Drosophila melanogaster: one gene and its partners. The main gene of each other region encodes a partner of the protein of the gene in region 2 in a complex. Each region holds a gene or a part of one and is shown on either strand. Other genes may lie near its edges.

Region 1 (8,777 bases), on a different chromosome or scaffold from region 2:
TGAAACAGTGGTGTCAAAAAGGATGTGTACTAATCTCAGTTTACGCTTGAAAATTATTAATTTATTTCCCATTTACAATCCAATCACGTATTTAAAATAAAGTCATACAAGCTGTATGTACAGTGCACCCTCCCTAGTTAGGACGCTCAAAAAAAAAGAACTTCCGTTCTTTTATATACTCAAGTTATCACAAGAAATTATCGCGACAATATATAACCATTTTTGGCAGAAACGAAGGAAGCAAACTACGTTTCACTTAAAATTGTGCCTTTCTATGTGCTTTTGTGAAGCTTTTTGTCGAAATTGCGATAAGCAGCCTCTGTGTTTTTGTGTTATCTCTTCGAAAAACAATTCACTTGTCTTGAGACCGCAGTCATGGCCACTTTAAATGTCCCCACTGTATGTATGCATGTTTGAACATTAGAAATGGAGGCGGTGGGCGTCTTTCAGGGCCAACTTAGCACTAAGACTTCGAGCAAAATCATTGATGTAAATGAATGTGAATCAGCCGTGCCATACAACCTGTACTATATCCAATACCAAGAAATAACCATCGAACAAGCAACCCAAACAGCCAAGAAAACTACATAGCTTGCTAATGACGTCATCGATAGAGTACTGGCAACTGCTGCTTTTGGCTAATTTATTCTCACATTTCAGCCGCATACATTCTACATGCCAATAATCGAGCCCAACGACTGACTGAGCCACGTCCTGCGTCACCGCGAGTAATCCAATCACATCGAACGGATAGCACCTGAATCCGCATCCACTCCCATCTCCACCGCCATGGACGCCCATTCGCGTTTCGCGCCGAGATTACCAGGTAAGTCCGCCGGCCGAACGGCCAAGTCATGCTTTTCGATTCGAATATATATCTAGTTTTGATCTTTGGTTCTGTAACTGCTTAGCATTGCCATTGTCCAGTGATTTGCCTTATTTGAGCGTTCAGAAATAGTTCCCAAAATAAAGAACTTCGTTAATACTAACTACCTAATCTAATGAAAGACGTAATTGTAAAAGAATTATCTGTTTGATTGCCTAAATATAAAGTAACTAATTGTGGGTACACCATATGGAAACCCATTTTCCCATCATTCTCTTTTAACTTTGAGCCCACCATGAAGATTATAAAAACGGGCCTAAAAATATGAGGCCAGGTTTTCTACAATACCTCACCTCCAATCTGTGTTTCAAGTTTTGGGAGTCATTTCTTTGCGCTGCTTTATTTCGTTGTTTTCATTGCCGTATCGTAGTTTCTTTGAGGGGGGAAGTGCCCTCGTTTGAGAACTAACAGTTAAAGCCAGTAATTACGACTAATTTTGTGCCCCGCCCCGCCCCGCCTTGACTAACCCCCAACCGCCGCCCCCTAACCAAGTTCTTTGTTTTTGGTATCAAGTTGCGCTACTAACCCCATTTCAAACTGCATTATCCAGCCTATGTGGGCAGCTTACCGTCTCCTCCTGTACATACATAACTTGCATTTTAAAACTATCCAATGTGGTTTGTTTGCTTGGTTTGTTGTGGATCCTATTTGTTAACTACTTTTCGCTAGCTGTGTTGTTGCCAATGTTTGGTTACCCGATGTGTTTTGTGATCGTATGTGTTTGCCCTAGCCCTTATAGCCTTACTTCATAGTCTATAGTCTAATCGCCCTAGCTTAGAGTTTCCTAATCGTCTCTGTTCTGTTCTGTTCAGTAATCGTCTGCCAATTATATCGAAACCGTAAGACTGTTGATTATACAATCAGATGCCAATGTACTTAACAAATGAAATTTCTCTGATTCATGTCTATTCACTTACTCAAACTCAATCCGAACTAAACTTGTTGCCTCAGGCCGTCAAAATACTTAACTGAAAGCATTACTTGTAAGATTACGTTTTTGGAATACAAGTCCGCGCCAGGGAAACCTACGAGATTTATAAATGCCTTCCTCTCGCACCCCAAGGTCCCGCCATCAATCCGATCGTCGATAACTCGGATGAGCCCCAACCCAGTCTCTCCGATCTGCACGACTTCGAGCCGAAGCTAGAGTTTGATGATACCGAGCTGCTGGCCCCATCTCCGCTTGAAAGTAAATTGAATATTTAAAGAATCTACAAAATCATAGTCAAACTAATTCTTCGATTTTTCCCAGAAGATGTTATGGTCGGTGATTTCGTTCTGGCCGAAGGTAAGTGGCGGAATCTACTTCTCCTGGCCAATGAATAACGTTTCGCATTACGCCTAGATCCAGAACTTGAGCCCGAGGAAGATGTAAATCCGCTGGAGGACGACTTCGAGGACCAACTCAGGGAGCAGTCTGAAAACTTTCAGACTCCCAGAAACAAATGCGATTTCCTGGGAACCGATAAGCAGGGTCGCCACATCTTTGGCATTTATGCATCCCGCTTTCCCGAAAAATCCCAACTGGAAGGATTTGTGCGGTAGGATTCATATTCGAGTACATTTTTTGTTCAATCATTAATCTATTTCCATTTGTCTATCAGGGAAATCATCAAGGAGATCGAACCTTTTGTGGAGAACGACTACATTTTGGTTTACTTCCATCAAGGCCTCAAGGAGGACAACAAACCATCCGCACAGTTCCTGTGGAATTCGTACAAGGAGCTCGATCGCAACTTCCGCAAGAATCTGAAGACGTTGTATGTGGTTCATCCGACGTGGTTCATACGGGTCATTTGGAACTTCTTTAGCCCGTTCATTAGCGACAAGTTCCGCAAGAAGCTAGTCTACATCTCCAGCTTGGACGAGTTGCGCCAGGCGCTCGGCCTGAACAAGCTGAAGTTGCCGGACAACATCTGCGACCTGGACGACAAACTGAACCCCAGCCGGAAGCCATCGACACCGCCGCCCAGCAGCAATATAAATGCATCCCGGCAGCAGCAGCACAAAATGGCGACGACGCATCAATTTGGTGTGCCCCTGAAATTCATTGTGATGAACAGTCCGTGCTTAAACTCCATTCCGCCAATTGTGCGCAAGTGCGTGGACTCGCTGTCCATAACGGGCGTGATCGATACGGAGGGCATATTCCGTCGATCGGGCAATCACTCGGAGATCATGGCGCTCAAGGAGCGCGTCAACCGCGGCGAGGATGTGGATCTGAAGAGCGTTAATGTCCACGTGATAGCCGGCCTGCTGAAGAGTTTCCTGCGCGATCTCGCCGAGCCGCTGCTCACCTTCGAGCTGTACGAGGATGTGACCGGTTTTCTAGACTGGCCCAAGGAAGAGCGTTCGAGGAACGTGACGCAACTGATACGCGAAAAACTGCCAGAGGAGAACTATGAACTGTTCAAGTACATTGTTGAGTTCCTGGTCAGGGTGATGGACTGCGAGGATCTGAACAAGATGACCTCCTCCAACCTGGCCATCGTGTTCGGTCCGAATTTCCTGTGGTCGCGCAGCACCAGTACCTCCCTGGAGGAGATCGCTCCCATCAATGCTTTCGTCGACTTTGTGCTGCAGAATCACAAGGACATCTACTTGATCGACGTCAATCAGCGCACAGTGTCCGTGGACTAACAACTGGCCCGGCCACCAACAAGTCCGTAATTGTAAATTGTTTGATTTTAATGTTAGTCCTAAGTGAACCAATGGTTAGCTAAAGAGAGAGCACACAAAAACGCAACAGAAACTAGAGAACAGAAGGCAATGTCGTGTATAAAGTGTACTGTAATCCTAAGTTGAATTTTAAACTGTGTGTATGTGTGTGGAACTGCTTGTAGCCCCAACTCCACGCCAACTGTCCAACCCCCCCGAAAATCACAATTATTTACCCCCAACAAGCGCTTAATACGATTGATTTACCAAAGAAATTTGCTCGTGTTCGCTATGCGACGAACAGGAGAGAAATTTGATATGAGATGTTATTATTATATACTACGTATTAATTCAACGCACATTCCCCCATAACCGAAAACGAATCTTGGTTGCGTTGCTGAAGGCACATGCCGAGCACAAGTGGAGTTGTGGCGAACTCAAAAATCGTACTGTGTAGTCTTGAATTTCCTTATAGTCATACAAACAATTTTTATAAAATAACGGTATTGTTAAAAATAAAGCAAGTGTTAAAACAACTTGGATTCTTATTAAAAATTAGATAATTATTTTAAATTATTTAAATACTCAAGACACATTTTGAGGACCAAACTTGCGCAAGATCGCAAGCGATTTTTATTGATATCGAAACAAATCGGTCCAGTATGGAATATTAAATTTATCATTAAGGGTCACAAGGAGTCGGCTTAAATGTTGATGTTCTTCAATTTGCGATTCAGATCGTTGAACTTAAGAATTTTACGCACAAAGAAGTCGCCATACCGATGTGAAACCTTGGTGTCGGCTATGTGGATCATGTCGTCGTCGATGTAGAAGTCCAACTAGAATATTAATGTATATTATTATATTTGCCATCAGAATTTGTCTATATTAATCTCACCTCGGAGCCAGACTTGAATGTGCCTTCCAGGCCGCTGGGTCCCTTGCTCCACACTAGGTTGCGCATTTTGTGCTTGAAGCAAAGCAGGCGAATCAGCAGCTTCGACACGTCATCCTCGCTGGCGTTGGGATCGATGAAAGATGCCAGTTTGGTCAGCGGCAGGGTGGTGTACAGCTTTAGATACGAGCGCGTTGTGGGCAGATCCTTCTGTTGGCGCACCTCATCCATGAAAACCTGCAACTGGTGTTCCATGGGGTCCTTGACGTAGTCGTCCATGGGTGCGTCTACAGCTGGCGGGCAGGGGCTCACGAAACGTGGGCAGGCGAAGACAAAGAAGGACTTGAAGACCTCCAGATCACCGCACTGCATCTTAAACATGGCGTCGTGGTAGTTCTTTTCCCTGAGCACCTGCTGGATGGACTCGTCGATGCACTGGGGATGGAGTACCAGGCAGATGGCCAAAAGATGGTACATCTGCTCGGCCTGCTTGTTGATTTGATCGTTTTGGTATGAACGCGTGCTGTACAGCTGCTTGGTACGCTGAATGTACAGGAGGATATCAGAAAAGGTGCGGATGGCATCAGCGTAGCGGCGCATCATCATGTAGGCGAAGCCCACGTAGTACGACGTCGAGATTTGGCAGGCGGGGATGTGCGAATAGGCGGACTTCTTGTGGATCTCAATGGGCTCCAGCACCTTGATGGCCTGGTAGTAGTCACCCAGCAGCGAATGAACGCGCAGCAGTCCGACAAGGGAGAAGTATCCCAGCATCTTGTAGAAGGACAGTTTGCCGAAGTCACCGGCCACGGTTTGGGGATCAACACCTTGAGAGATGGCCTCCAGCTGCTTCTTGATGTTCGAGATGTCCACAAGGGAATGCAGAACGTTGAGGATGCAGAGAATGCTCCACTCGTTGCTGTGGTTCACGCACAGCTGCTGGATCTCATCCTGCGATTTCTCCGTAAGGCGGGCGCTGCAAAAATGGAAGGTTAATCGAGTTCCACAGGCTGCGGAAACAGCTACATACCGATACTGCGCGAAGTTCTGGAACTGATACACGAACTCATCCACCAACTCCCACAGCCAGATGTCGGGCAGCTCCAGCATCACTGGGTTCTGGGCCGAGATGATCAGGTTGAAGAAGTCGCAGTAGTTGAAGAACGAGTTGATCCTCTGCTCCAACTTGGGACCACCGGGGATGCGGGCGTGGATGTGGCGATAGTACAACTCCTTGTATAAGATCAGGAAGACCTTGTCGTTGTCTACAATAGCAGCCACCTCCTGCTCCTCGGGCCAAGCAGTCTTGTCGAAGTGGTGGTCGCTGATCTGCGGGAACGTGTTCTCGTACATGTTTTGGATGTCGTACAAGTTGCCCTCTTTGATCGCCTGGCAGAAGTTTATGAGGAAGTACTTGACGTTGTCCGGCATCCGGGCGGCGTAGTAGTTCCTCTCGTACTCCATGTCCAGTTGCGGGTCTCCGGTATGAGCGTAGTCATCGTAGTAATCCTGTAATATGTAAAAAACCCAATGACTTTTTGGAAGCAGAATTGCAGGAAATACTGATCTACGACTCTCTGCATAAATGAGCTATTAAATAGAGTTAATCGCTTAAAGTGGATCGATTTTATAAATTAACAGCTTGCCTAGACTATTGAAGACTTTCGACTTTGTAAATAGGAATTCGAGAGACTATGCTACAACTGTTCCGAGTTTAATCCCGACCATTTAGCTAAGCGAGCTGTAGCTAACAAAACGAGCGCATTCCTACGATTACGAAGTGGATGAACCTTAGAGGGGTACTTCTTTCCACGGCATCTCTAAGGAGTAAGCTAGAATATATTCATGTGTTCTTTAAAGGTGTGTACACACCATCTAAAATTGCACGCAAATCAAAAATGTAGAAGGTATTATGACTTATTAATAATGTACACCGATACCAATAATATACCACATGGCGCCGGGGTGTCCCCCGGACTACAGGATTCGTTTCCAAATAGCAAAGGAACGTGTCAAAGGAGTGGCCCACGGATTATCAGTGCTTAATGACCTATGATGATCTAAACACCAACTATGCCAAGTCGTAAAACGGCTTTAAAATCATCCCAGTGAGTTTTGTATTTGTGCGAGGGCAACAAAAGATGGGTTATGTTGTCGGCGGAGTCCGGGGATTGGTTTCCCGAGAATGAATCATTCCTCGCTGGCTGCACTCACCGAGTTGGTTGCGTATTCGTCTCCACCGTACATTGTCGCTGTTTTATCCTCTCCGGGTTACACACAAAACGAAAAAACCGATCAAATGCTTAGGAAATTGACAACACGCCAACAAATTTTTGGCGAAAAGAGGGATAAACAGTGTGACCAACTATCGATAATGATACTACTACGACTATCGATGTTTTACGCCCCTATCGATTTGGTATTCGAAATAATTTTTTGTAAAATATGTATTTTATTTCAAATTTCTGGATAGATAAGAAAACTAGATTTTTAAAAAATATTTTAGAGGGGATTTGACTTATTTGCCATTACATTTGTATACTTTGCTTATATCATTCATTTTGCAATGATATTACATGGCTTTAAAACTATGCAAAAAAATTTCTATCACGAATTAATATAAATGTTAACGGAAAGCTATTATTAGTGACCAAATTTAATTTCATAGTAGCAGTTGAAATAATTTGTAAATACTTCATATACTTAATCACACGATAGCTTAGCTCACGCGACAAGCACCCAGTTGGTGACTCCCTCGGTATCTTGCCACGTTTGAGTCACGGTCACACTGGCAGCGAGACATTCTGTTCGTGTGTCATCCGCGTTGCGATAATTATTTTCTTAATTCAAACGAAACTCTTCCGAAGTGGGCGTGATCTGCTGGAGCCGTACACCCAGTGGATAAATTACATAAATTCAAAATCGATTTAAAGCGGAGCGTAAAGTGCAGTCCAACGTTTTTAACACCGCGGACGCGTTGCCACAAATCATCAGCTTTTCACGGTGGTTTTTCCAGCGGAAAAGTGCATTTTGGTGTTAAACTTCTTCGGAAATCGAATATAGATGTGTTTATAAATCTACCAAGCGATAGTGTTTAATTAACAGCCTCCAAGATGAGGCCGCCCAGGAGCAATACGAAAGCAGCATTTTCCTCGCTTCAGTTTGGATTGTTATGCCTCCTATTGCTGGTCAATAATGGCATTAAATCGGTGCAAGCAGGTAAAAACCAGTGATACCCATTGACTAACCCAGGAATTCAGATCCTTTCGGCTCGATTTTCCCAGCAATATGTGACATAAAACGTCGATTGTTTGTAAGCCAACTTTTTGGGCGTGTTCCCCAAAGCTGAAGACTCGCTCTTCCATTTTCCTTTGGCCCGTTGTTCGCTTTTTAACTCGCTCTTAGCGATCGCGAGAGTTTTGGTGAGAACGGGAGAGCGATCAAACGGTTGCTTACGAATAGCGGTGGCAAAACAAAAATGCCGCTTAACAACGCCCGTTTTTACTCGTTCGTTTTGAGCAAAGGCATTGGGGTTTTAGATTCTTGATTTCCGGACTTTTATGAAGCTTCCCGGGGGAGCAATTCGAAAATTTTGCCGGTTGCATCCCCAGTTGTGCTTGCCTTCTTTTCCGGCTTTTCAAATGCGCATGCGGCAAATAAGAAGCATCTGCTGATTGATGATGCTGTGTGAAACAGGTGATTTTATCATTATCCTTCCATATGTCAACAGACTTAAGCGCTTTTCCCCACAAATTTCCACATATCTTGAAAAATAAACAATCTATCGATGATATGCAAACATTTTTATGACTAAAAATAAACAATGCCGCGCAATTAATTTGCCTTGAAGCGTCGAAAGCAGACAGCCGACATATATCCTCCCAGACTTTGGTCGATTTCCATAATTTATTTCGGTTCTTATTGCCTCGAAAATAGCATCATTCGCACTTCGAGTTTCCCCCAGATGGACGGAAATGGCCTTTCAGACCTCGTCATATTTGTTTCATTTAGAACATTAGCCAAATTCTATGTATTTCGTTTTCTTTCTAATCACCATTGGGCAATTATGTAGCAAAAAGTAGTTCAAACTGGCTATATATGTATGTACATATGTTCCTGTGTTATTTACCAGAAGATTGTCATGCGTGTTTCCTCGGTTTCCTTTCGAGCTTATCAGGTTGATTTGTACCACTCCACCCAAGACTCAAAGTCAGCTTAAAGTGCCCACGAACTCCGAATGACCTCGCAAGGGTTGTTTTCCCCCACTCCGCTAAGAAAATGCCAGTGTGCTGTTTGCCTAGGAGGAGCTACTGCTGCACCCATTGTAAACAATTTCTT
Region 2 (7,006 bases):
CCAGGTCTCTTCGCAGACCCGAATCAAAAACTAACCTACACAACAAGTGTAAGGGCAGCAATCCGAACTATATCGGATACGCCAATATACTCAAAATTCTATCAGTACCCAATGTCTCTTAAAGACGAGGTACACAAACAAATTTCCGAACTTTTACACGATGGAATCATTCGACCCTCAAGGTCACCTTACAATTCACCAGTGTGGATTGTACCAAAAAAACTCGACTCCTCTGGCAAGAAAAAATACAGGGTGGTAATTGACTATCGAAAACTTAACATGGTAACGGTAGCGGACAGATACCCTATCCCTGACATTAATGAAGTGTTGGCCCAATTGGGAGACAACAAGATTTTCTCAGTGCTCGATCTGAAAAGTGGGTTTCATCAGATTCTTTTAAAGGAATCTGATATCGAAAAGACCGCCTTCTCCATCAATAATGGAAAATATGAGTTTACACGACTCCCATTCGGTCTGAAAAATGCACCGTCAATTTTCCAGCGCGCACTGGACGATATTCTTCACGAACATATCGGTAAGATATGTTTCATTTATATTGACGACATCATCATCTTTAGTAAAGATGATGAAACACATTACCAGAACCTTGACACTATTTTCAGAACTCTTCAGCAAGCCAACATGAAATGTCAGTTGGATAAATGCGAGTTCATGAAGAGAAAAGTGGAGTTCCTAGGCTTCGTCGTGTCCGACAAGGGCATTGAAACCAGCCCAACCAAGGTACAGGCAATCTCAGACTTTCCAATTCCAAGGACACTCAAAGAACTGAGATCATTCTTGGGATTATCCGGATATTACAGGCGATTTATTCCTAACTACGCTAAGTTAGCAAAACCACTTAGCTCGCTTTTGAGAGGGGAGGATGGTCGAATTTCCAGGACATTATCGTCAAAAAAATCCGTCTCCCTTAATCGCGAAGCAATAGAAGCCTTCAAGAAATTGAAGAGCAGCTTGGTTTCTCCAGACGTAATACTCCACTACCCGGACTTTAAGAAAGAATTTCACCTAACAACGGATGCTTCCAATTTCGCAGTAGGTGCTGTTCTTTCACAAGAGAACAGACCCATCTCATTTTTATCGAGAACACTCTCGAAGGCGGAAGAAAATTATGCCACGAATGAGAAGGAAATGTTAGCCATTATCTGGGCTCTAAAAAAGCTAAAAATTTACCTTTACGGTAAAGCAAAGGTGAAAATCTTTACTGACCATCAGCCTTTGACCCATTCTCTCAGTAGTTGGAATGGAAATGCGAGGATTAAGAGATGGAAAGCATACCTTGAGGAATATGACTACGAAATTTTCTACAAGCCAGGCAGAGAAAATACTGTAGCCGACGCTCTGTCCAGAGGACCGACAGTCGAACAAATTAACACAGTAGCCTCAACAATGCACAGCTCTGACAGTTCGAGCCATGGGCTGATACCTAGCGTTGAAGCCCCGATAAACGCATTCAAGAATCAAATTTTCTTCAGGGAGTCCGAGTCAGAGAACTACTCATTTAGCATTCCATTCCCGACATTTCAAAGGCATTTAGTAGATCGCAACTTGTTCACACCCGATAGTCTCTTGTCAGATTTGAAAGAATATCTTAACCCATCCGTGATTAATGGAATTTTCACATCCGAGGATGTAATGGGGAAAATTCAAATTCTCTACCCCATCCATTTTCAGGGTTTCAAGATTAGATTCTGCCAAAGCAAAGTCAAAGACCTTGTTAACGAAGCCGAACAAGAGGAAGAAATACTTAGGACACATAACAGAGCACACAGAAATGCTGTGGAAAATAAAGCTCAGTTGTCCGAAAGAGTATACTTTCCTAAAATGAGGAAAAAAGTTTCGGCTATCGTGAATCAGTGTTTGGTGTGTAAGACTGCTAAATATGACAGACATCCCACGCATCCAGAAATAAGACAAACTCCCTTGCCAGAATACCCCGGACAAATTATTCATATTGACATCTACTCGACAGAACGACATCTGGTGCTCACGGCGATTGATAAATTTTCCAAACTGGCCATGGGAAGAGTTATCAAATCCAAAGCTGTAGAAGACATTAGGAAAGCCCTAAGAGATATCGTGTTTTATTATGGAGTGCCTAAATTAATAGTAATGGACAATGAAAAGTCCCTCAACTCAGCCTCTATCAAATTCATGTTGACAGACCAGCTGGGTATTGAGCTCTACAAAGCACCTCCGTATAAGAGTACAGTAAATGGACAGATAGAAAGATTTCACTCCACACTCTCTGAAATAATGAGATGTTTGAAAGGAGATGGAACACATAGGGGCTTCGAGGAACTTCTCGATAGGGCCATCTATGAATATAACTACACTGTCCATTCTGTCACAAAAAAACGACCTCTAGAGGTGTTCTTCGGCAGGATAGCTACCGTAGCTCCAGAAAAATATGAACAAGCTAGACTGGACAATATAGACCGACTTAGGCAAAAACAGGAAACCGACATAGAATACCACAACCGGACAAGAAAGCCCATAAAAACCTATATCAAAGGGCAAGAAATTTTCGTTAGGGTTAATACAAGATTAGGTTCTAAGTTATCAAGTAGATTTAGGAAGGAACTAGTTAAGGAAGACCGAAGTACCACAATATTAACAGAATCAGGGAAATTAGTACATAAAAGTAACATAAGATCATGATTGCTTCAGAATAATTACTGTGGCCACATCGATAGACAAGTAGAACATAGAAACATTAAACATACTGATTAACGTAACCACGAGAATTAAATTTGAAACGATTCGACTTTGACAGACGAGTTGGCCATAGGTTTGCAGAATTAGATTGGGCTCGTGAAAGAAGAGATTGCGTTGTGAATGCGTTTCTGCGGAGCGAGTTTAAATTGAATGAGACCAGTAGCCTACTTGAAAACAATATACCGATTTCTGCCTTGACGGTCAAATAAATGTTAAAACTTTCACACGTTCTCGCTTTACACAACGGAACTACAATTTGAATGCCATTGAAATCTCCATATTGAATCAGTTAATTCCTTATTTCTTATATTTTAAAACATGATCAGTAAAGGAAACTAATAATAATAAATAAATAATAATTTAATTTGAATAATAATAAAATTTACCAATTAAAGACGAAATGTACGGAATCAATGCCTTCTGCAAAGGTTCCAATGGTCTAAAAATATGTAGATATAAATTCATTAGTAATTTAGTAAAAACCAGAATTTTAATAGAAGCAATCAAGTTGTCAATGCAGAACACATCCGAGTTGCACAAACCTCGAACGCACGCAACAATAAACACCTGGCATTCAAACCATTAATGCTGTGCCCAAACTACCACGAATCACCCCACCAACGATGCGACTCAAAAACATCCCATCCTTATGATGACCGCTCGAGGACAAGCGTCAATTAAGAGGGGAGGAGTTATTGCCCTGCAATTGATTCTCTAACATCTTGTGGTTCCACATAGTCTCCGCTGCCATCAACGCCAACGAACGGTTAAGCGCGACATCGACACTTCTGCGCTGCGCCGCGGCCGACGCCTGCTGCGCCGCTGCCGACGACTTCACTTGATTGCTAGGGACTTAGGGAAACATTTTGTACGCTAGATTTAGTTTCAAATGATAAATTGCAATAAACGGTCGCTTGCGATCTTCAAAATCAAATCGATAACTTATTAACTTATATGTAACGAAATTTCAAATGGTATATTCCAAAAAGTGCAAAGTGGTATTAGCGGTATATTTTTTGGACACACACGGCATATTTTTGTGACCGCGGCAGGGTAACACTCTTTTGTTGCTGATTAAAAATCCGCTTAACTCGTGGCGAAATTTGCATTTACGATTTCGCATACAAATCGCGTTGAAAATCAGAGTGAGTGCACCCCAAGCAAGCGCCCAGTGTAGCCCCACTCACTGCGCCCTCAATTCCTTTCAGATGCCGGGCGTTGAAACGATCAAATCCTCCTGGGCGGACGAGGTGGAGCTCGACTATGGTGGACTACCTCCGACGACGGAGACGGTGGAGAACGGACAGAAGTACGTGACGGAGTACAAGTACAACAAGGACGACAAGAAGACGAAGGTGGTGCGCACGTACAAGATATCCAAGCAGGTGGTGCCCAAGACGGTGGCCAAGCGACGCACCTGGACGAAGTTCGGCGACTCGAAGAACGACAAGCCCGGCCCCAACTCGCAGACGACCATGGTGTCCGAGGAGATCATCATGCAGTTCCTCAACTCCAAGGAGGACGAGAAGGCCAACGATCCGCTGCTAGATCCCACCAAGAATATTGCCAAGTGCCGTATCTGCAACGGTGAGCATTGGTCGGTCAACTGCCCGTACAAGGGCACGGCGATGGACACGAATATGATGGAGAAGAAGGCTTCGGCAGCCGCCGCGGCCGCCGTCGATGCGCCCAAGTCCGGCAAGTATGTGCCGCCGTTCCTCAAGGACAGCCAAAAGGGCGCGCTGGGAATGCGCGGACGCGACGACACGGCCGCCATTAGGATATCGAATCTGTCGGAGTCGATGACCGAGGCGGATCTCGAGGAGCTGGTGAAGAAGATTGGACCGCAGAGCAAGATGTATCTCGCCCGCGACAAGAACACCGGACTCTGCAAGGGATTCGCCTACGTGCACTTCAAGCAGCGCAAGGATGCGGCCGCCGCCATCGAGATCCTCAATGGACACGGCTACGACCACTTGATCCTCAGCGTCGAATGGTCGAAACCCCAGAACAATTAGTTAGTCCCGTTCCCACTACCCGCGTTTACTGCTCATAGGAGTCCGTTCGAGTCGATCACACAATTTGTCCCTATGCTATGCTAAGTTTGCTACAAATAAATCTTAAAACAGCCCCCATGGGCACCGAAAACCAGATGACTATGCTCTGCAAGGATACAATGGCATCTAGAATCGTATATTTTTCATATTTGATATAACTTAATCGCTCTTCTTTAGTTTTGCGGACCAACCAACACAAATGCTTTCGACTTTTGCTCTAATATAGCTTTCTCCCTCGTTTTAAAGGACGCAAGGCCACCAAATCGTAGACACTGGGAACAACATATAAAAGAAATATTTTTTATTTGTTACTTAAAAAACTTGAATATGATTTGTTAAGTGTATTTTTTAACGACATGCAGCTACCCACATATGGTTAACAAGTTAACCTTACGCGGTGCCCACTGTAGAAAGCATGATTCCAGCCGATCTGGCAACGCCATCGTTTGCATGCGAATAAACACCATGGTGTTGTTGTTTTTGTGTTTGCCAGCGATTTGCGTAAATTGTGTTTGTTTTTGTGGCCAAAAATAGAAATCAGATGCCGCAAAATATTCAAAAAGCATTCGAAACAATATTTTTGATCTTCAGGTGTGCGCTCATTTTCAGTCGTCAGTGAGACGGGCCCCCAGGCGAAAGTCTTTGTTGTTGCTCCGTTCGAGCGAAATGGCCACCGCCACCGTTGGTTCATCCAGATCCGCAACCACATCCGCAACCGCATCCGCATGCTCATCCAAATCCAAGAACCTAAAGAATCCGGCGCCGCAAATAAAAAGGGGACAGCGGATCCTCACGGAGAAACCATTCGCCTTCGTCTTGAAATCACAGTACCGCCTGGAGCGGTGCGATAACTGCCTGGAGGCGTAAGTTTCGCCATGTGGCTGCCTTTGTGAGCTATCTAATTTGGGTTCGTCGTTGCAGGACCAAGGTGCTGAAGTGCTCCAACTGCAGGTATGTGTCCTACTGCCACCGCTCATGCCAGATGCAAGCTTGGGGCCAGCACAAGCACGAGTGTCCTTTCCTCAAGAAGGTGCATCCTCGAGTTGTGCCCGATGCTGCCCGAATGCTCTGCCGACTGATCCTGCGCCTGGAGCACGGCGGAGACCTGATCCGCGGCTATTACACCGAGCACGGCTCCCGCAAGTTTCGCGATCTCATGTCCCGTGAGTAAACCAAAGGGCGAACCGCTTTGCATGGTCATTCCTAGCTAATCCACGTTAACGTGCACAGATTACGCCGAAATCAAGAACGATCCCATGCGACTGGAGCACTTGGACTCGCTGCATGCCGTCCTCACCGATATGATGGCCGAGAGTCCCAGCACGGTGCCAAACAAGACGGAACTGATGAGCATCTATGGTCGCGTAAGTGTGCAGGCACCTGTGCGAGCGAGCAGGAGCGGATTGGGCGATTCATCGCACTGGTACTGAATCGAGAAACCAAGACGCTTGCGTATGCAGCCGCTCCTGGTCGCCCAAATTAGATAGCAATCAATGATGTATGCCTGGCGCTCTGCCAGTCAATTGATTATCTAGGAAGGGCTTCGGTTCACATTCCCCGGCGCACAGTTACGCGGGAGCTCATGCTCTTTCTTCTCTGCTCTTTGCAGCTGATCACCAATGGCTTCAATATCTTGGACGCCGAGATGAACTCAATTGCCACGGCCATATATCTGGGCGTCTCGATTACGGACCATAGCTGCCAGCCAAATGCGGTCGCCACCTTCGAGGGCAACGAGCTGCACGTCCACGCGATCGAGGACATGGAATGCCTGGACTGGTCGAAAATCTTCATCAGCTACATCGACCTGCTCAATACGCCGGAGCAGAGGCGTCTGGACCTCAAGGAGCACTACTACTTCCTATGCGTGTGCAGCAAGTGCACGGATGCCAAGGAATCGAAGGAGATGCTGGCTGCCCTGTGTCCCAATCGCAACTGCGGTGCGGGAATCAGTGTGGACCGCAATAATTGCCCGCGATGCGATGCCGGCATCAGTCCCAAGTTGAGAAATGCCTTCAACGAGGCGATGACTCTGACCCGGCACAATCTGGAGAACATGAAGGACGTGGCCTGTGAGTAGATGCGACGAAATGGAATTAGCTCCATAATAAGCACATTTTCACTCTCTCGATCACAGATCTCGATGTGTGCAAGGTGTGTCTGGACAAGCAGACTGGCGTGTTCCATCCCCTGAATGTGTGGTACGTCAAGAC
Region 3 (8,256 bases), on a different chromosome or scaffold from region 2:
ACTAGTAGTAGTTTCTGTTGTTGTTGTCGTTCTTGTTGTTCTTGTTGCTTTTGTTCGCTGGGTAAGTACTTACTTATGTGCCAGGGCATTATTCTTGGCTGTGTTCCTTTCACCAAGCCGCTACCGCTTTTTCCTACAAGACCGGCAGTGGCAGAAGAAAAGCTTCAGCGGCAGGAGCGATTGCAGATGAGCTGGAGATGAGAGGGTAAATCCGGAGGTTGGAAAGCGGAAGGCGGATGGGGATGGAGAAACCGCAGCGGTGACGTGGCAATGCAGCTGCATAATGTGGCATGCGGTTTGCATTAAAAATGATATTGCAACACGAGCCGCACATCTGCAGCTGTGTGCAGTTAGGCGCCGCCTGCAGTCACTGACAGCCGCATGGCAATTATAATCCACACACACATACACTCACTCAGACGCACACTCATCCACGGCTTATGGCTACACTGAAATCAATTCAATGGTAAAATAGGAATTATTTCAGTCAAAATAAGTTCCCATTGTTATTGCTCCACAGAACCCATTATTATATTCTTGGTATGCATTCTTGGTCTTCTATTCTTACATTTGACATTATCTCTTCATATTCTCGCAGTGTATCAACAGAGAAGTGCGAGGGAATCTGGAGCCGGGCCATGTAAGCAGCAGCTGCCAGTGACATACACATCAACATGACACCCTGTCGCTTGACAAAGCTTAGCTCAGGATCTGGGTGCTGGAAGAGGGGCGGAGGCACCGCACTCCCACTGTCATCCCGCTCGCACCCATATCATTTTCCACACATTCAGGCACATTCACACGCTCGACATGTTGCTTTTTGGGTATGAGCCGGAGTGCAGGATGTCCGCTTCCTTTTTCGCCGCCTCACACGTTGTTATCTAACAAGCTTTTTATGTGATTACCTTTTGCCTTCTGTTAGTTTTACTATAATTTGGCCTTTACGCTTAACGAGATTGTTGTAAGGTGCTCCCAGCCAAGAATAAGGAAACCGAACCGGAACACAGTGAGGACTGAGCCAAGTTGACCAGATCCAGCACACAGGACACTCGTCCCATTGTAGTGCACTCCGCTGTTGTTCCTTTGCTTTCCTGATACTTGGGTCAGAACAATGGTGCTGGAGTTGGAGTCATATGAATGGAGTCATGTCGATGTGAGCTTAGATGCGTCGTCAAGTGATAATCCCGTCACAGTACCCCGCTTCCTGTACCATTTCCACAGCTCAACAAACATTTATTTGTGCGCTTAGTGAGGGTTTTTTATAAAAGATAATAAGAAACAAGAATTTGTCGGCTGGAAGGGGATCCCCGCGCCCATCCTGGATCAGCTCACCATGCGGAGGATGAGAATAATCGTGGCCAATGAGAGCAGCACGACGTTGACGGAGAACCGAAAGACGAACAGGCAATTACACATTTCTTCATTGTGGTTGCGGTGGTGTTTAATTGGGGGCAGGGCGTCCTCCTAAGATTCATTCTCCAAACGTCTTACTTCTCACTTTGTGTAGTTTATAGGGTTTCGGTGTGACTAGAAATACAAATAAGACTGAGCTTTTATTGTGAGGAATTGGTATCTTTTGATTTCTCACAATAGGCTTCAATCTACTTACTATAGGCTTTTGAAGAAATCTTTTTAGTTGTCTATCAAAAATTATTTAAAGATTGGATATTCGGTTATTTCCTTAATGGATAAAACCGCCTTTTTCATATTATAACATTATCCAAACGTAGGGCTTGGAAAATTTTCCCAAGCTGTCAAGCCGGCCATACGAAATCAGCTCAGTGTAATTTGTACCTCGACAAAACCGGATCACATAAATGTAAATACTTGCTCTTGGTTATTTAAACATCTTTCGGCGTGATTATGTCCAACTACGCACCCTTTATCAAGCCCTATGTGGAGTACAACGAGCACGGCTGGGGTCCTTGCGAGGTACCCGAATTGGATGTGCCCTACCAGCCGTTCTGCAAAAGTGATCGCCTGGGCAAGATCTGCGACTGGACTGCGATGGTGCCCGAGAAGAAGTTCCCCAGTAAATACGCCTCGACCTTTGGCAACAACAGTCAGTACGCATACTTCTACGAGGACGATGACTCCACCTTCCATTTGGTGGACACCACTGGATCGAAGGCCACCAAGCCCTATCAGCGGGGACGCTATAGACCCAATATGCGCAACAATGTGAGGAGCAGGGGTCGCACGGGGCGTGGCACTCCGAATATAGCAAGTCTCGGGGGATCCACGGCTGGAGGCGCAACTGCCAGTACCACCAAGTACGGAAAGGGTCGCAATACACGCAACACGCAGAATATGGGTCGCAGATTCGGTCGCAATGCTCCCACCAGAATCCGCGAGAGCTCAGTGATGGTGCAATCGGATTGGGTTTCGATCGAGGAGATTGATTTTCCACGCCTTCTCAAGCTGGCACTTCCCAATATTAAAGATGGTAAGGACATTGCCACCTGCGGATGGCTGGAATTTTATGATAAGTTATACGATCGAGTCAACTTACGCAATGAAAAACCATTGCAAAAGATGGATCGTGTTGTGCACACCGTGACGACCACGGATGATCCGGTTATTCGTCGTCTTTCGAGGACCATGGGCAATGTCTTTGCCACCGACGAAATCTTGTCCACCATAATGTGCTGCACACGCTCCAATTACTCTTGGGATGTGGTAGTCGAGAAATTGGGCACTAAGGTGTTCTTAGATAAGAGATATAATGATCAATTTGATTTGCTGACTGTCAACGAGACTTCAGTAGAACCTCCGATGGATGAGGAGGGTTCCATCAATTCGGCACATAGCTTGGCAATGGAGGCCACTCTAATTAATCACAACTTTAGCCAGCAGGTAGGTTTACAGTAGGTTTCAATTTATGTTATTTGTTATTGTACGTTTTTAAATCTTATGTTATTTATTTTTAAAAGGTTCTTCGCATTGGCGACCAAGAGCCACGTTTCATGTTTGAGGAGCCCAATCCGTTCGAGGAGCCAGGCGTGGATCTTGCCTCCATTGGCTATCGCTACCGTCAGTGGGATCTGGGCAACGATGTGGTGCTGATTGCTCGCTGCAAGCACAATGGGGTTATCCAAGGACCCAATGGGGACGTGCAGTTCCTCTCGATCAAGGCGCTGAATGAATGGGACTCCAAGGTGACCAACAGTGTGGAGTGGCGCCAGAAGTTGGACACCCAGCGCGGTGCAGTCTTGGCCTCCGAGTTGCGCAACAATGCTTGTAAGCTAGCTCGATGGACCGTTGAGGCTGTGCTGGCTGGTTCCGATCAACTGAAGTTAGGCTATGTGTCCAGGATGAATCCGCGTGATCACCTGCGTCACGTGATCCTTGGCACACAGCAATTCAAGCCGCAGGAGTTCGCCACCCAAATCAACCTGAACATGGACAATGCCTGGGGAGTATTGCGTTGCCTAATTGACCTTGTGATGAGGCAACCGGATGGAAAGTATCTGATCATGAAGGATCCCAACAAGCCGATGATCCGTCTGTATGACGTTCCGGAAAACGCCTTCGACTCCGACGGCGATGAGGAGGAGGAGTCCAGCGATCCCTTGAGTAACTCCAACGATAACTAACGCCCTCACGAATTTATTCAACTAATAGTTCTCCGAACAAGGGGATCCGTCGACGGACGAGACAAGCCGACACATGCTGACAGATGCGCAGTGAACACAAATGCAATTTAAATTGAGTTTTTGACCAAACACAACATATGAACGGAGCCATCACTTGACATGTCAGTGAACAACGGACCGGGTGACCGGGTGCAGTCACAGTTATTTTGAGGATAACATGGCCACATCAATCACTGCGGTTCCAAGAAATACAAAATGAAACCCGGCTAAATAAATATGCATTGTGCAGAACATCCCCCGCCATTACCGACTGACAATCACAATAATTGCGGGGGAGTGGAACTGGGGCTGAAATGGGTGAAGGGCTGTTTGGGTGACAAACCTCAGGATCAATAAATCACCGAACACGGCATCAATCAATGCAAATTCTGATGCTGCTGTGGTGCTTGGCGTGCGACAATTTAAGCAAAATGTTTTCGTATTCAACAGCATTTAATTAAATTCATATATGTGCTCGAATTTCATATGCATCCTGCCTTTTTTGTTATTTGGCAATTCAATTTGGGCAGTCAGTGAGCACAAAAGTGCAGAAATTATTCCCCAACGGAAATGCAAATCGCTCAACTAAATTACCAAAATGTTTTGCGCATTTTTGTTTTTGTTTCTCCGTCCGCCAATTTCTTTTTGTTCAGCGCCAAATTGAATTTAGACCTATTCAATTTGCATGGATAGGCTTGCACTCCCTTTCTTCCCCAGACAGGATGAGCAAATGATGATGCCTGGGTGTGAAATAAGTGTGTGAAAATATTTAGGGAATTTACGCAAATGAAAATTGAAACCGATTAATTTTAATTCCCTGCCTGCGGCAAATTTGATTGATAAAGTCGGTCCATTATGTGGCAGTGCACAGATTCACAATGCAGCACATACATATGTATATGTGTGCACATCAAGTATACGCACAGTTGGCCGGAAAGGCACTTGATCTTGCCAGTAAGCAGCAGTGAAACACCAAAGTGTTATTCAATTAAAACATTTTGTTTGCTAAATCAACATGTGTGCCTGTGTGTGTGCCTGCAGGACCAACTTACGAAATGACTATTGCGGACTGGTTTTTTAAAGCGTTTGCCGCAGAAAAGTTGGCTCCGGCTGGTTAGCTGCTCGAGTGGCTTCAGCTACCATGTACCACCAACTACGGAGTACAGACTACCGACTACCAGCTGGCAACTACCGGCTTTAGCTACCAGCTTTAGCCTTAGCTGTAGCTGCAGTTGTAGCTTCGGCTTCTGGCCAGGACTGGCGTGGCATTTCAAGGTCTGCGCTTGGCTAACCACGCCGTTGAAAGGCGTTTAACAAACTGGCAGGCCGGGTTGGCCAGGGCACTTGCCAGCGGCAACAACTCCTAGCCCAACTCAAGTGGGGCCTTAACGCAAAACTTTGTACATTTTATCGCATATGCAGGGCTGCGGGCCATTCCGGGGTAACGGAGAACACAGACCGGAGAGCCCAGAACACAGGGTGTGGGTTAGTGGGCTGAGGTATGGGTTTAGATGGCCAAGGCATTTGCATATGCAACCACAAACACCGCCCGAGTGAAAAGTTAAGCGTTGAATGAGGGCGACAAATTGCAAATTAAACTCTTTTGCATTTTCCCAGCATCACATCACATGAGGAATAGTTGTAAATAAAACTGCCACACCCGCGTCAACTTTTTCAGCTCCTGCGACCTCCAACTAAATTCAATTTCATTTCAATTTGCCTCACTCGCTTTTTTCGCTGAAATGGGGTTATGGTAGCTGGAGCCTCGGAAGCCGTCTGAGCCGCATTAGGAAACCAAATGCGACTTTAAGTTGCCACCAAAGCATTTGGCCCCAGGCCCTCTAGCCGTTTAAGCAACGGATTTGCCATCTTTGGACTTTGGTTGGGTTCACCAGGATCAGGGGGCTCCGGGTGCCAGGGGTCACGCATTTCGGGGGGCGGACTGAAGAGTTTAGGAATGTTTGTAAGCCAAAAGTTTTGTGTTCTTTTGGCCAGCTCGGATTTCGCCTCCGCCTTTTGGCATATTTAATTTGCCGACTTGTGCCAGTTTTTCTTTTCTTGTCTTTCCTTCTCGAAAGATCCTGTCAATTTTGTGACATTTGCTTTGGGCTCCATTCACCGTTAACTTTTCAAATGCAGCTCATTTAAATATCATTTGTCTGGGTAAAAGTTTGCCACGAGAAGTCAGTTAATCGAGGATGAAGCCCACGGCTATTAATATAGGTATGGATTGAAGTGAAAAGGGAGACCCAAAGCAATCAAATATATCGTAAAATCAAAATATTACTTATATATCAAATCGGAGATTCTTTAATATTCCCTTCTTTTTACAGGACGAACCTGATAGCCCTGCTACTCTTTTCCAGATGAAAATTCGTAAAACTTTCTCACTCAAGTTACCCCAATATAATATATTTAAATTACCCCTTCTGCATTTTAGACGGTCGACTAGACACAGACGAGAGCACACTGTTGTTAGCCACAGAATAAGAAATGTTATCAATGCCGCCAACACCTCTGCAAAAAACAAAAGCAAAAGCACCGAATACAAATTTCAGCGTCACCCAACAAATCTGCAACAATAGTGATAATTTTTTCCACTTCTTCAGCTCGTTTCGCAACGCAAAACTTTGTGCAAACATTTTGCCAAACTTATTCTTTTTTTGCCGCGTTTTGAGCTAAAACTTTTTTGTTGGCGAGAGCGAGAATAATGGCTAAAATTATGTAGATGCAATGAGGGGTAGTAACTGGAGCACGGGAATATTCACATAATTCGATGAAATGAATTGGTTGCAGTTGCAATCCCAGCTGCGAGTTAACTGACAATCCGCCCAATGATTGCATATAAAAAGTTCTCAGATGCCGCAAAATTATCGCCGCAGCCGGTCCAGGCCGGAAATCATTTTCCTCTTCCGGCCAGGCAAGGTTCAGTTGCCGATTCTCATCTCAGCTCAAAGAAAAAACGAATATTTTCCACGTCTCACTCGGAGCCTTAGCTCCTGACCGACTGCGCCTGTGGAGCAACTTCTGTTTTACACATTTCTAATTCGTTTCCTGCCTGCAAACGAATGGCTGGCAAAAGTCTGTCTGCTGAAAGTCTGCCTGGATAGGGTCACAAATCTGGACTGAAATTCATTGAATACTTGTCAAAAATATCCCAGTAGCCAACGTAATTGGATTCTTTGTTGGCGCTGTCACCCAAGTTGGGCACATGTGCACTTTTGCACTCCTGAATATATTTCGGCAGATTACAAATTCGAATGACTCGCATATATGCATCTTACCTTGTATTCTGATTTAATAGTGGCTTATGAATCACTGAATAATTTAAAGATGTGTTCATGTCTCCCAGAACCAGGGCCTTGTTTTCATTCTCTTGCAGAAGGGATATACTTACAGTTTTTGTGTTCAGAAAGACATTCTGTAGGGATTGAAGAAGGGACTTCGGCTATAATATAACCCTTGTTCTAAAGGCCCTTTATAAAGCCCTTTTTTACAGTGGATTTTTCACTATGCAAATCACTGAAAAGATCAAAAACGATGTGCGATCATTCACCTGATTATTCCAGGCAGGTCTCACTTAAATGGTAACTTCGAGAGGAAACTGTGATGTGGTTTAACTTTCGCCCCGGAAAGTGGGGCCAAAAGTAAATCAACAAGTTGGATAAACTTGACTGTCAGACACCGATGGAATATTTTAAGCACGACGAGCTCTTAACTGCTTTAAGTTTTCAACATAAATATCAAGTATACGCACCGGATACCCACATACCCACACGCACGCACACGGCATAAGAATAAGGTGAATGCGAAACCCAAATCCAGCTGCCGAGGGAAAAAAACATAAGAATGAAAGCAAACGAAACAGACAACAAAGTTGGTTTACTTTTGGGTTCGTTTCAGTTCTTTTGTACGTTTCGCCACAAGCATGAAAATCGATTACCTGTTTCAAATGGAAAATATTCTTATATATATACATTTATCTTTGAGTGGGTAAGCTGATTGTCTAACTCCCCCGCTGTTCCGTTGGCCAACTGGCCCGCAGCTCGTCAGACTTTGCATAAACGAATTGTAAACACAGCAAGTGGTAGGTGGGTGGAATTGAAATTATGCCAAATGCGTTTTCCAGTTTCTAATTTCGGCATCGATCCTCGATTGCGAACGAAGGAGTCGTCCGGCTCTCGGACACCAGCACACATCGAGTGGCAATTTGCAATGAATTTGCTCAATTGCACCAGCTTGTGATTCTGCTCGTTGTTCTGGTCTGGTCCTGCTGATGGTGCAACAAGAGGAGCTCCTTGTGTCCATTTGCTTGCCTGCTTTGTTTTTTATTTTATTTGCAACAAATTGGGTTTTATCATCTGCCCAATGTCGATGTTGAGGGACAGCTGATGCAGCGCCGATGACAACCATGTCCTTCTGTGCGAGCTACCCAAGATTCGCACAAAATTAAATTCCGTTTCGACCCTCCAGTAAACTGGCATTGTTGGATGGGCATCATCGAATTTTTCATCACCCATCCCAATGCCGATGTCCAAACAAAAAACAAAAAGGGAAACTGGGAGGATGAGGTCCTGGGCCCTCTTTCTTGGCCCTTGGCTCAGTTGCACATACTCAATCA
Region 4 (7,436 bases), on a different chromosome or scaffold from region 2:
TTGGTCACCATGATGAAGTTCCCTTTCTTGCAGCGTAACCGCCAGCAGGAAGTGAACAAGGTTCACATCAGCGCCATTCTGCGTATGGACCAACTGCAGCATTTCTACGATGGCGACGACTACCGCGACCTGTCCAAAGCCATACTCTTCGACGCCGATATGCTAGTGGACCTGCGGCGCCGGGCGGATCAACTAAGCGAGGAGACACTGGCCACCAAGCGCTGGCACCGCATAAACTTCATCCACTTGCGGCGCATGAACACGGACATAAAGTTCATGCGATTCGAGATAACGCGGCTCGAGGAGGAGATTCGCCAGGCCATGATGAAGAAGTTCGGCATTATTGTCAACCTGGATGAGTTGGAGGAGGAGGTCCTAAGGCGCTACATCTTCGATCTGGAAACCAATGCCGAGGATGAGCTTATGGCCCTCGAAAAAGAGCTCCTGGAGAAACAGGTACATTTGCTTTCATAAGTATAACAATTTCTTTAATATCCAACTATTGTGCATCAGAAAGAACTCGCTCGCTGCGAGGAGGAACTGGTCCTGGAGACCCAGAACAACACCGAGAAGGTTAACATAATGACCGTGCTCCGGGAAGAGAACAACATCCTTCGCACTCTGTTGGACATTCAGAACAAAAACTATGCCAAGTGGGCCAATCCGAATGCACTAAATCTATCCTACGACATTGAGAAGCTGAGGGGCATTGAAAAATCCTTGCTGGACCAGATTGAAGTGGGTAATTCTCCAAAACTGATTTCAGATCCTTAAAGCATTATGTATTCAACAGTGCCTGGAGCGGGAGATCTGCGCTCTCAGGCTGAAGTCCAAGCCGCTGCAAATCAATTACGAGTTCGAGGTGGATCCCAATGCACAGCCCCAGGTGGTGACCAGTGAAATAATGCCCAACGACGATGCGATGGTGTGCCCGGCCATCCTCAATGTCGACGCCTACATGCTGCCACCCATGCCCGATGAGTTTATCATGGATCGCGTACAGACCATTGTCCAGAAGAGTTTCAATCGCTTCTTTGGGAAGAGCACCACTCCGGAGAATGTGCGCAAGTTTGCCCAGCGCTCCTCGCTTTATTTGTGCCAGGCCGCCTACAGTTTCCAGGTGATTAGATCTAAAAGCAATTAGTTTACTCAATCTTACCAAAGGTTATATTTTAGGGTCGGTACACGGATCGCATAGCCGAGTGCATAACGGAGCATCTGCAGACGTTTGTGCCGAAGAAGTACTTCATCCACATCAGCAACGAGGAGCTTCGCAAGCTATTCAACGAGGTGGTGGCTGTGTTCGACTACGAACGCTCTGATGTGAACACCGAGGAGCTGATATCCGGAATTTTCGATCACGCCAAGGACTCGCTGTGCGCTCATGTCCATATGGGCGACTCCGAGGTTGTGAACCGCACCCACTTCATCGTCGCTCACATGTTCAAAGAGCTGATTGAGGTGCTGCCGCTGGAGGAGTTCCAGGCGGACGAGACCCTGCGCATGATTGTGGACGTGCTGGAGCGTGAACCGATGGTGGATCCTCGAGCCATAGCCGTGGAGCAGCTGATCGATAGCACGCTCCAGCACGCCCGGGAGAATCTGATCGATGGGATTACAGCGGTGCCCATTCGCAGCCTGGGAAGCTCCATTCAAAGAGACCTGATAAAAAGGCGGCAATATAAGCAGCCCAGTTGCGAGTCGCCCATGTCGGTGAGGATCGCCACGAAAAAGCCAGGAACCAGCAGTGGGCTTCCTTTCTAGACATCCATATCAAATACTTTGGTAGAAATTCAAAAATTAATTATTTTTGGAACTTGACAACATCGATTTACAAAAAGTAACTCAATACATATTTTTTTGTAGACTTCACTTTGAATTTCGAAAAAGGTGACCCAAACATGTATATTTTACCATAGAACATCTTTAAATCTGATTTTGAATTATTTGTAAAAGCGTGTGTTTCAATAACTGGCGTCCTAATAGCACAACTCAAAAATTTACTAATAAATTGTGAGGGACATATTATTCCCATTTTTTATTTATTTTAAAACGCCAAAGAAATAAAATAGCAATTCGCGTGCAGAAAATAAATTTCGAATAAATCCAGATCTGACGGGAAAACTTTACGACATCACTAATCTCGATGAGCTGACAACCCTGTTTGTGACTCAGAGAAACTGCAAGTAAACAAAGTGCAACTTCAAATTACAGACGAGATAAGATGTCGAAGCCATCAAAAGCAGGTCCACCAAGCGAGGGAAGTGCTCCCGCTTACGACTATCGCCATTCCGGCGATGACATGGCCATGGTAATAAGTTAATTTGATTATCAAATACCAGTCGCCATCTAAAGTTTTGCGACTTCTAGCGAGCTCCTCCGCCAACGTATGAAGAAAGCCAGCGAAACGGCGGCACCGGTGCTGGTGCCTATGGCTATCCACAAGGAGGAGGTGCTCCGCCCAGCCAGAATCAGTATTACGGCATGATCAGCCACCAGCAACAGCAGATGCCCTTCAGCGGGCAGCCCAACTACGGTATGACACATGGCAGTGGCTTCGGACTTGCTGGTCCCAGTACGTCGGCAGGAGCAGCTGCAGCACAGGTCCTCCACTTGGACTCACGGGCCGAGGTGAGGACAAATTCCAACGGAAATGTCGTCATTCCGCCTCCTCCGCCGGGCTGCCTGCCCACACCGGCTCAGTGGGCGGCCATGCAGGGTCAGCCTGTGGTTCTCAAGCAAAAAAAGCGTTCCTTTTTTTAGGTTACACATGGCACACCATTTACTCGAATATAATCATGTTGTACCTCTTTCCACTCCTTTGATGTTATAAAAATAAACGACGCGATCCGTTTCGTTTCGTCCTCGCGTATATTTGAAAGTTCCCTAAGCAAACGAACATGTCGCCGGTGAAATGGTTATGTTAAGTCCACCGGCTCTGATCCTACTAAATCACTACTGGATACAAACTACTCGAAGATGTTCTCAAAGTATGTACTATCGAATGTCTGGACACGCACGAAACCATCTTCTCCGCCCGAGGCGTAACTCTTGCCGTCCGGATGGAAGGCCAAACTGTTGATGGGTCCGAAATGGCCCTTGAGTCGGGCGAACTCCTCCTCGTATATCAGGTGGAAGAAGCGCGAGTCAAACTTGCCAGCCTTCGTAGACGTAGTGGTCACCTCCATGGCATCTTGACCGCCGCCCAGCACGACATGATCCATGATTGGGCTGATGGCCGCCGAGTTTACTGGACGCTCCGTTTTGTAGGTCTTGAGGCACATCAGGGACTCCGAATCGAACAATTTGGCGGTGGTGTCCTTGGAGGCGGTCACAAACATGGTGCCATCCTTGCTCAACTGCATGTCGTTGATGCCAGCGCTGTGATCCGTGCCAGAGTCAACCACCTTTTGACCCTTACGGATGTCCCAGATGGCAATGTTGCCATTATCGTGACCTGGAAATACGGGTTTTAAACGGTTTTCATAATAGATTATCGGGTAAACACCAACCTGTGATGATGGTCTCATCCAGAGGACCCCACAACATCGACGTAATTTTGGACTCGGTCATCGGGATGCGGAGTGTGGGCTCCTGCTCCGACAACGAGGAATCGGCGTTGCGGACATCGATGAGGAACAGTTCACAGCTCTGTCCCATCGCTTTGTCCGTTGAGTAGGCTGCCTGGTTGCCCGAGAAGCTGAAGTTGCTGGTGCGCACCGATGACTTGGTCGGAATGGAGGCGATAACGGTGCCGTACTCGACGTCCCAGATCTTAGCGGTCATATCACCGGCGCCGGTGATGAGCTTACGGCTCTCCCAGTCCACATCCAGGCACCAGACCGCACCCTGGTGACCATCGTAGGTGCCCAAACGTTCTCCGTTCAGCGAGTACCACACATTGGGCTTCTGATCCTTGGAGCAGGAGAAGAGCAGGTCGCCCTCGCGGTTGTACTTGATTTGCGTTATGGAACGCTCGTGGCCCTGAAGCATCAACGGACGCTATAAAAGACAGAATAATACGAATTTTTAGCAACAATTTAGGCCGCTTTTAAGGTTATGTTTGGTCCGGAATTTCACACGACTTTCACACTTTGCAAATAGTTGTAATTTCGGGTAAATTCTAAAGAAACCCATCCGGAATAATGCAAACTGTGTAGTCATTGACCAGGCACGCACCATTTTGTATTATATTGTTATTTGTTGCGAGAAAACGAATATTTTTGCAACAACATCCACGCAGCACTACACGCCAAAAGAGCAGTGTGACCGTGGCCTAGTCAAAATCTCACTTCGATATACCAGGGGGATCTAAAAAATACCGTTAATCAAGTTTATTTTGAACAACCAGAAATTTTTACAATCTAGAACTTAAGGTATAGCCAATATAAACGAAAATTTGGATTTAAAACTTGATATACATCAAGTAAAAACCATATTTTATGCCATACATTAAGTAAATACAACGAAACAACATTTGCCTAGCTTAGCCAGCCTAGCTGAACCATCCCTTTTTGTTCATTGAATTCCACTTGGCTATGTTCACCAAAATGGATGCCACACACTGGTCCTTGTCCCGATTTTGGCCGTAGTAATCGACAAACTCGCCATCGGGATTGACCAGGTACATGATGATGGTGTGATCCACAATATAATCGTTGTCCTCGTCCCGCGGTCCAGCGCTGAAATAAACCCTGAAGGCCTTGCACACTTTGCGGATTTGTTCGACGGTTCCCGTGAGTCCCAGCAGTTTGGGGGAGAACTCTTTTACGTATTTGGCCACCACCTCTTTGGAGTCACGTTCTGGGTCAACGGTGATAAAGATGGGCTGCACTGCTGGCGTTTGCGGGGACTTTTCTGTGAAGGTTTGAGAAACATGGTTTTTTTTGGGTTTGGAAGAAATAGTCAGGCTCTACTTACCAACTTCATCGACGACGGCGGCCATCTTCTCTAGCTCATCGGGACAAATATCCGGGCAGTGGGTGAAGCCAAAATAGATGAGCAGCCACTTGCCTAAGAAGTCCTCCGATTTGCGAACAGCTCCCTGCGAATCAACTAATTCCCAACTGCCGCCGATGGCTGCTTTTCCCAATTGCCGCTGACGCTCCTTCATTCTCGCCTCATCCTTCTCGCTCTTCACGTACAGCATGAAGCCCACTCCTCCGGCTCCAAGGGCTCCAATGACGGCCAGACTTCTCCAAGAGATCGGACCCTTGCCTTTAGTGGAATCTGCGGGAGCGGCATAATGACGAATTGCGGGCTGTTGTGCCCAGCGACGACAGCTGCCCACTAAGCGTTGCAGGGAGCGGGACATCTTACGCCCGGTTTCAGAAATTTGAAGGCTTTACGTAAATCTTCTGGAGAAATAAAAATATCGCCGGTGTCCTGCTGCTTCTTCCTATTCAGCCAGTCACGGCGAAACAGCATTTATTTAGTACATAAAGTATATTTATTTAGTATATTAGTTAGTTTGTTAGTTAGTTTGGTATATTTTGGTATTAGAAGGCGGTCTTATTGATTCCAACACGTGCGGTTCAATTTTGTTAAATTATTTAATAAAAACACCGGGGCAAATGGCAAGCAAAAATCGCAAGGAGCCGCTTCTGTACATGGAGGAGTATCGGGTGAAGCAGGATCCGCAGGACTATGGACTGGCGGACGATGTATTTTCCGTTCAGGCTTTCAAGGAAAAGCTGCACATCAAAATCGTCAGGTAAATCTCAATAGAAATTAGAATCTTACGAGTCGATTAACAATTGGTGTTCACTTCTAGAAACGACGAAGACGGCCTGGAGTTCGATCTGATTGGCGTGTATCCCGCCATTGCAAATGCCTTCCGTCGCCTGATGCTCAGCGATGTGCCCAGCATGGCCATCGAAAAGGTGTACATATACAACAACACCTCGATCATCCAGGACGAGGTACTTGCCCATCGAATGGGTCTACTTCCGTTGCGGGCTGATCCCCGTCTATTCGCATACCGCACCGAGGAAAGCACTGAGGCGGGGACCGAGCAGGATACGCTTGAATTTGAGCTGAAGGTGAAGTGCTCGCGGCGACGGGATGCTGGAAAAGATCAGTCCAACTTCGATGACATTTACAAAAACCACAAAGTGTACTCGGGTCATCTGAAGTGGCTGCCCAAAGGAAAGCAGGCGCAGATATACAGCGAGAGTGCTGTGAACTGCATTCACGATGACATACTGATTGCCCAATTGCGTCCGGGTCACGAGTTGGATCTGCGCCTGGTGGCGGTTAAGGGACTTGGACGGGATCACGCGAAATTCTCGCCGGTGGCCACGGCCACCTACCGACTGCTGCCCATGATTAAGCTGAACCGCGAGGTGACCGGTAAGGATGCGTACCTATTACAGAACTGTTTCTCACCAGGAGTAATTGGCATTGACGAGAATGAAACTGCCTATGTAAAGGATGCACGCTACGACACGTGCAGCCGAAATGTGTATCGCTATCCCCAGCTAAACGACGCTGTGACTTTGGCCCGTATCCGAGATCACTACATTTTCTCCGTGGAATCAGTCGGCGCACTGAAGCCCGATGTCATCTTCCTGGAGGCGGTCAAGGTATTGAAGAGAAAGTGCCGGGCGCTAATTGACGAAATTGAGGCAGAATAGTTATTTATTTAGTTGTTAAAGAAATTATATTATGTACATAAGACAGCTTGATATAAATTGTAAGCCTACGAAGATCGTGCTTGCTCTCTCTTGCGCTTGAGCACCTTCAGGCGAAATTCCGTTAGGACCACCTGCAGACGCTCCTGGCACATTAGTGCGTCCTCCAGGTCCATGTTGTTCAGCTGCAGAGCCAAACTCTTGCCAAACAAGTCAAATTCACTAATAATGGTGTCTTCCGTCATCGCGTCGACTTGGTATTCGTTATTAATCTCCGTATCTTCCGGCTTGAGCTGTATCATCTCTTCCTCGTAGACCACCTCTTGGTCCTGGAGATCTGTTTCATTCTGTTGTACTTCGAGGAACTCGTTCTCAACCTCAAATTCTTGCTCTTGATAGGGCTGATCTGTTCTGAGTAAATCATCCAGGATTGAGTCGTTCGAGGCGATTTCGTCCTCCTCCGTCTCCTCCTCCATGCTCTCCACCTTCGTGTCGTTCTTGATCTTTGGCTGCATTTTGCTCCTTGGCTTTTGCCTTGGATAGGTCTTTGATTTGGCTTTGGGCTTTGCTTTGGGTGAAATTATGGAGGCCTCCAAGTCTGGGTCATGCTCATCTTTGACAAGTTCACCCTTAATCATATTCTGTAGGTATAAATACGGAGTTGTTAATTTTATGTAAATTAGTAATGAGATGAGAATTTTTTTTTTGGAGCGATAAGTTGTGCATCGCATAGAGGGAGCTACTGGTTTGGTTAACCATTGCACAAGAAGTAGTCAATGGAATAGTTAACGAAAAGTATGGCGA

The links.
Region 1: eIF3g1 (region 2) and eIF3l share a complex: the UniProt entries of both Drosophila melanogaster proteins name them as parts of the eukaryotic translation initiation factor 3 (eIF-3) complex.
Region 3: eIF3g1 (region 2) and eIF3d2 share a complex: the UniProt entries of both Drosophila melanogaster proteins name them as parts of the eukaryotic translation initiation factor 3 (eIF-3) complex.
Region 4: eIF3g1 (region 2) and eIF3i share a complex: the UniProt entries of both Drosophila melanogaster proteins name them as parts of the eukaryotic translation initiation factor 3 (eIF-3) complex.

What each region holds. Positions count from the first base shown.
Region 1 is NT_037436.4:12,139,303-12,148,079, forward strand, and holds eIF3l (eukaryotic translation initiation factor 3 subunit l), read right to left. Parts: upstream 6,796-8,777; 5' UTR 6,687-6,795; coding exon 6,654-6,686; intron 5,949-6,653; coding exon 5,470-5,948; intron 5,416-5,469; coding exon 4,443-5,415; intron 4,384-4,442; coding exon 4,249-4,383; 3' UTR 4,144-4,248; downstream 1-4,143. Other genes in the region: RhoGAP68F (Rho GTPase activating protein at 68F), read left to right, coding at 790-826, 1,699-1,725, 1,950-2,075, 2,139-2,174, 2,232-2,427, 2,491-3,526; Nrx-IV (neurexin IV), read left to right, coding at 7,553-7,658. UniProt on the Drosophila melanogaster protein: Component of the eukaryotic translation initiation factor 3 (eIF-3) complex, which is involved in protein synthesis of a specialized repertoire of mRNAs and, together with other initiation factors, stimulates binding of mRNA and methionyl-tRNAi to the 40S ribosome.
Region 2 is NC_004354.4:2,607,121-2,614,126, reverse strand, and holds eIF3g1 (eukaryotic translation initiation factor 3 subunit g1), read left to right. Parts: upstream 1-3,790; 5' UTR 3,791-3,881; intron 3,882-3,944; coding exon 3,945-4,754; 3' UTR 4,755-4,880; downstream 4,881-7,006. Other genes in the region: Smyd3 (SET and MYND domain containing, class 3), read left to right, coding at 5,460-5,656, 5,715-5,956, 6,024-6,157, 6,403-6,865, 6,931-7,006. UniProt on the Drosophila melanogaster protein: RNA-binding component of the eukaryotic translation initiation factor 3 (eIF-3) complex, which is involved in protein synthesis of a specialized repertoire of mRNAs and, together with other initiation factors, stimulates binding of mRNA and methionyl-tRNAi to the 40S ribosome.
Region 3 is NT_033777.3:12,188,560-12,196,815, reverse strand, and holds eIF3d2 (eukaryotic translation initiation factor 3 subunit d2), read left to right. Parts: upstream 1-1,804; 5' UTR 1,805-1,863; coding exon 1,864-2,856; intron 2,857-2,933; coding exon 2,934-3,596; 3' UTR 3,597-4,113; downstream 4,114-8,256. Other genes in the region: CG43450 (uncharacterized protein), read right to left, coding at 1,329-1,475. UniProt on the Drosophila melanogaster protein: mRNA cap-binding component of the eukaryotic translation initiation factor 3 (eIF-3) complex, which is involved in protein synthesis of a specialized repertoire of mRNAs and, together with other initiation factors, stimulates binding of mRNA and methionyl-tRNAi to the 40S ribosome.
Region 4 is NT_033779.5:4,963,512-4,970,947, forward strand, and holds eIF3i (eukaryotic translation initiation factor 3 subunit i), read right to left. Parts: upstream 4,265-7,436; 5' UTR 4,183-4,264; coding exon 4,180-4,182; intron 4,003-4,179; coding exon 3,513-4,002; intron 3,458-3,512; coding exon 2,970-3,457; 3' UTR 2,856-2,969; downstream 1-2,855. Other genes in the region: CG34124 (uncharacterized protein), read left to right, coding at 34-456, 514-738, 794-1,120, 1,177-1,764; CG34125 (uncharacterized protein), read left to right, coding at 2,225-2,311, 2,371-2,763; Scox (synthesis of cytochrome c oxidase), read right to left, coding at 4,496-4,857, 4,921-5,314; Polr1C (RNA polymerase I and III subunit C), read left to right, coding at 5,574-5,713, 5,774-6,635; l(2)05714 (lethal (2) 05714), read right to left, coding at 6,701-7,273. UniProt on the Drosophila melanogaster protein: Component of the eukaryotic translation initiation factor 3 (eIF-3) complex, which is involved in protein synthesis of a specialized repertoire of mRNAs and, together with other initiation factors, stimulates binding of mRNA and methionyl-tRNAi to the 40S ribosome.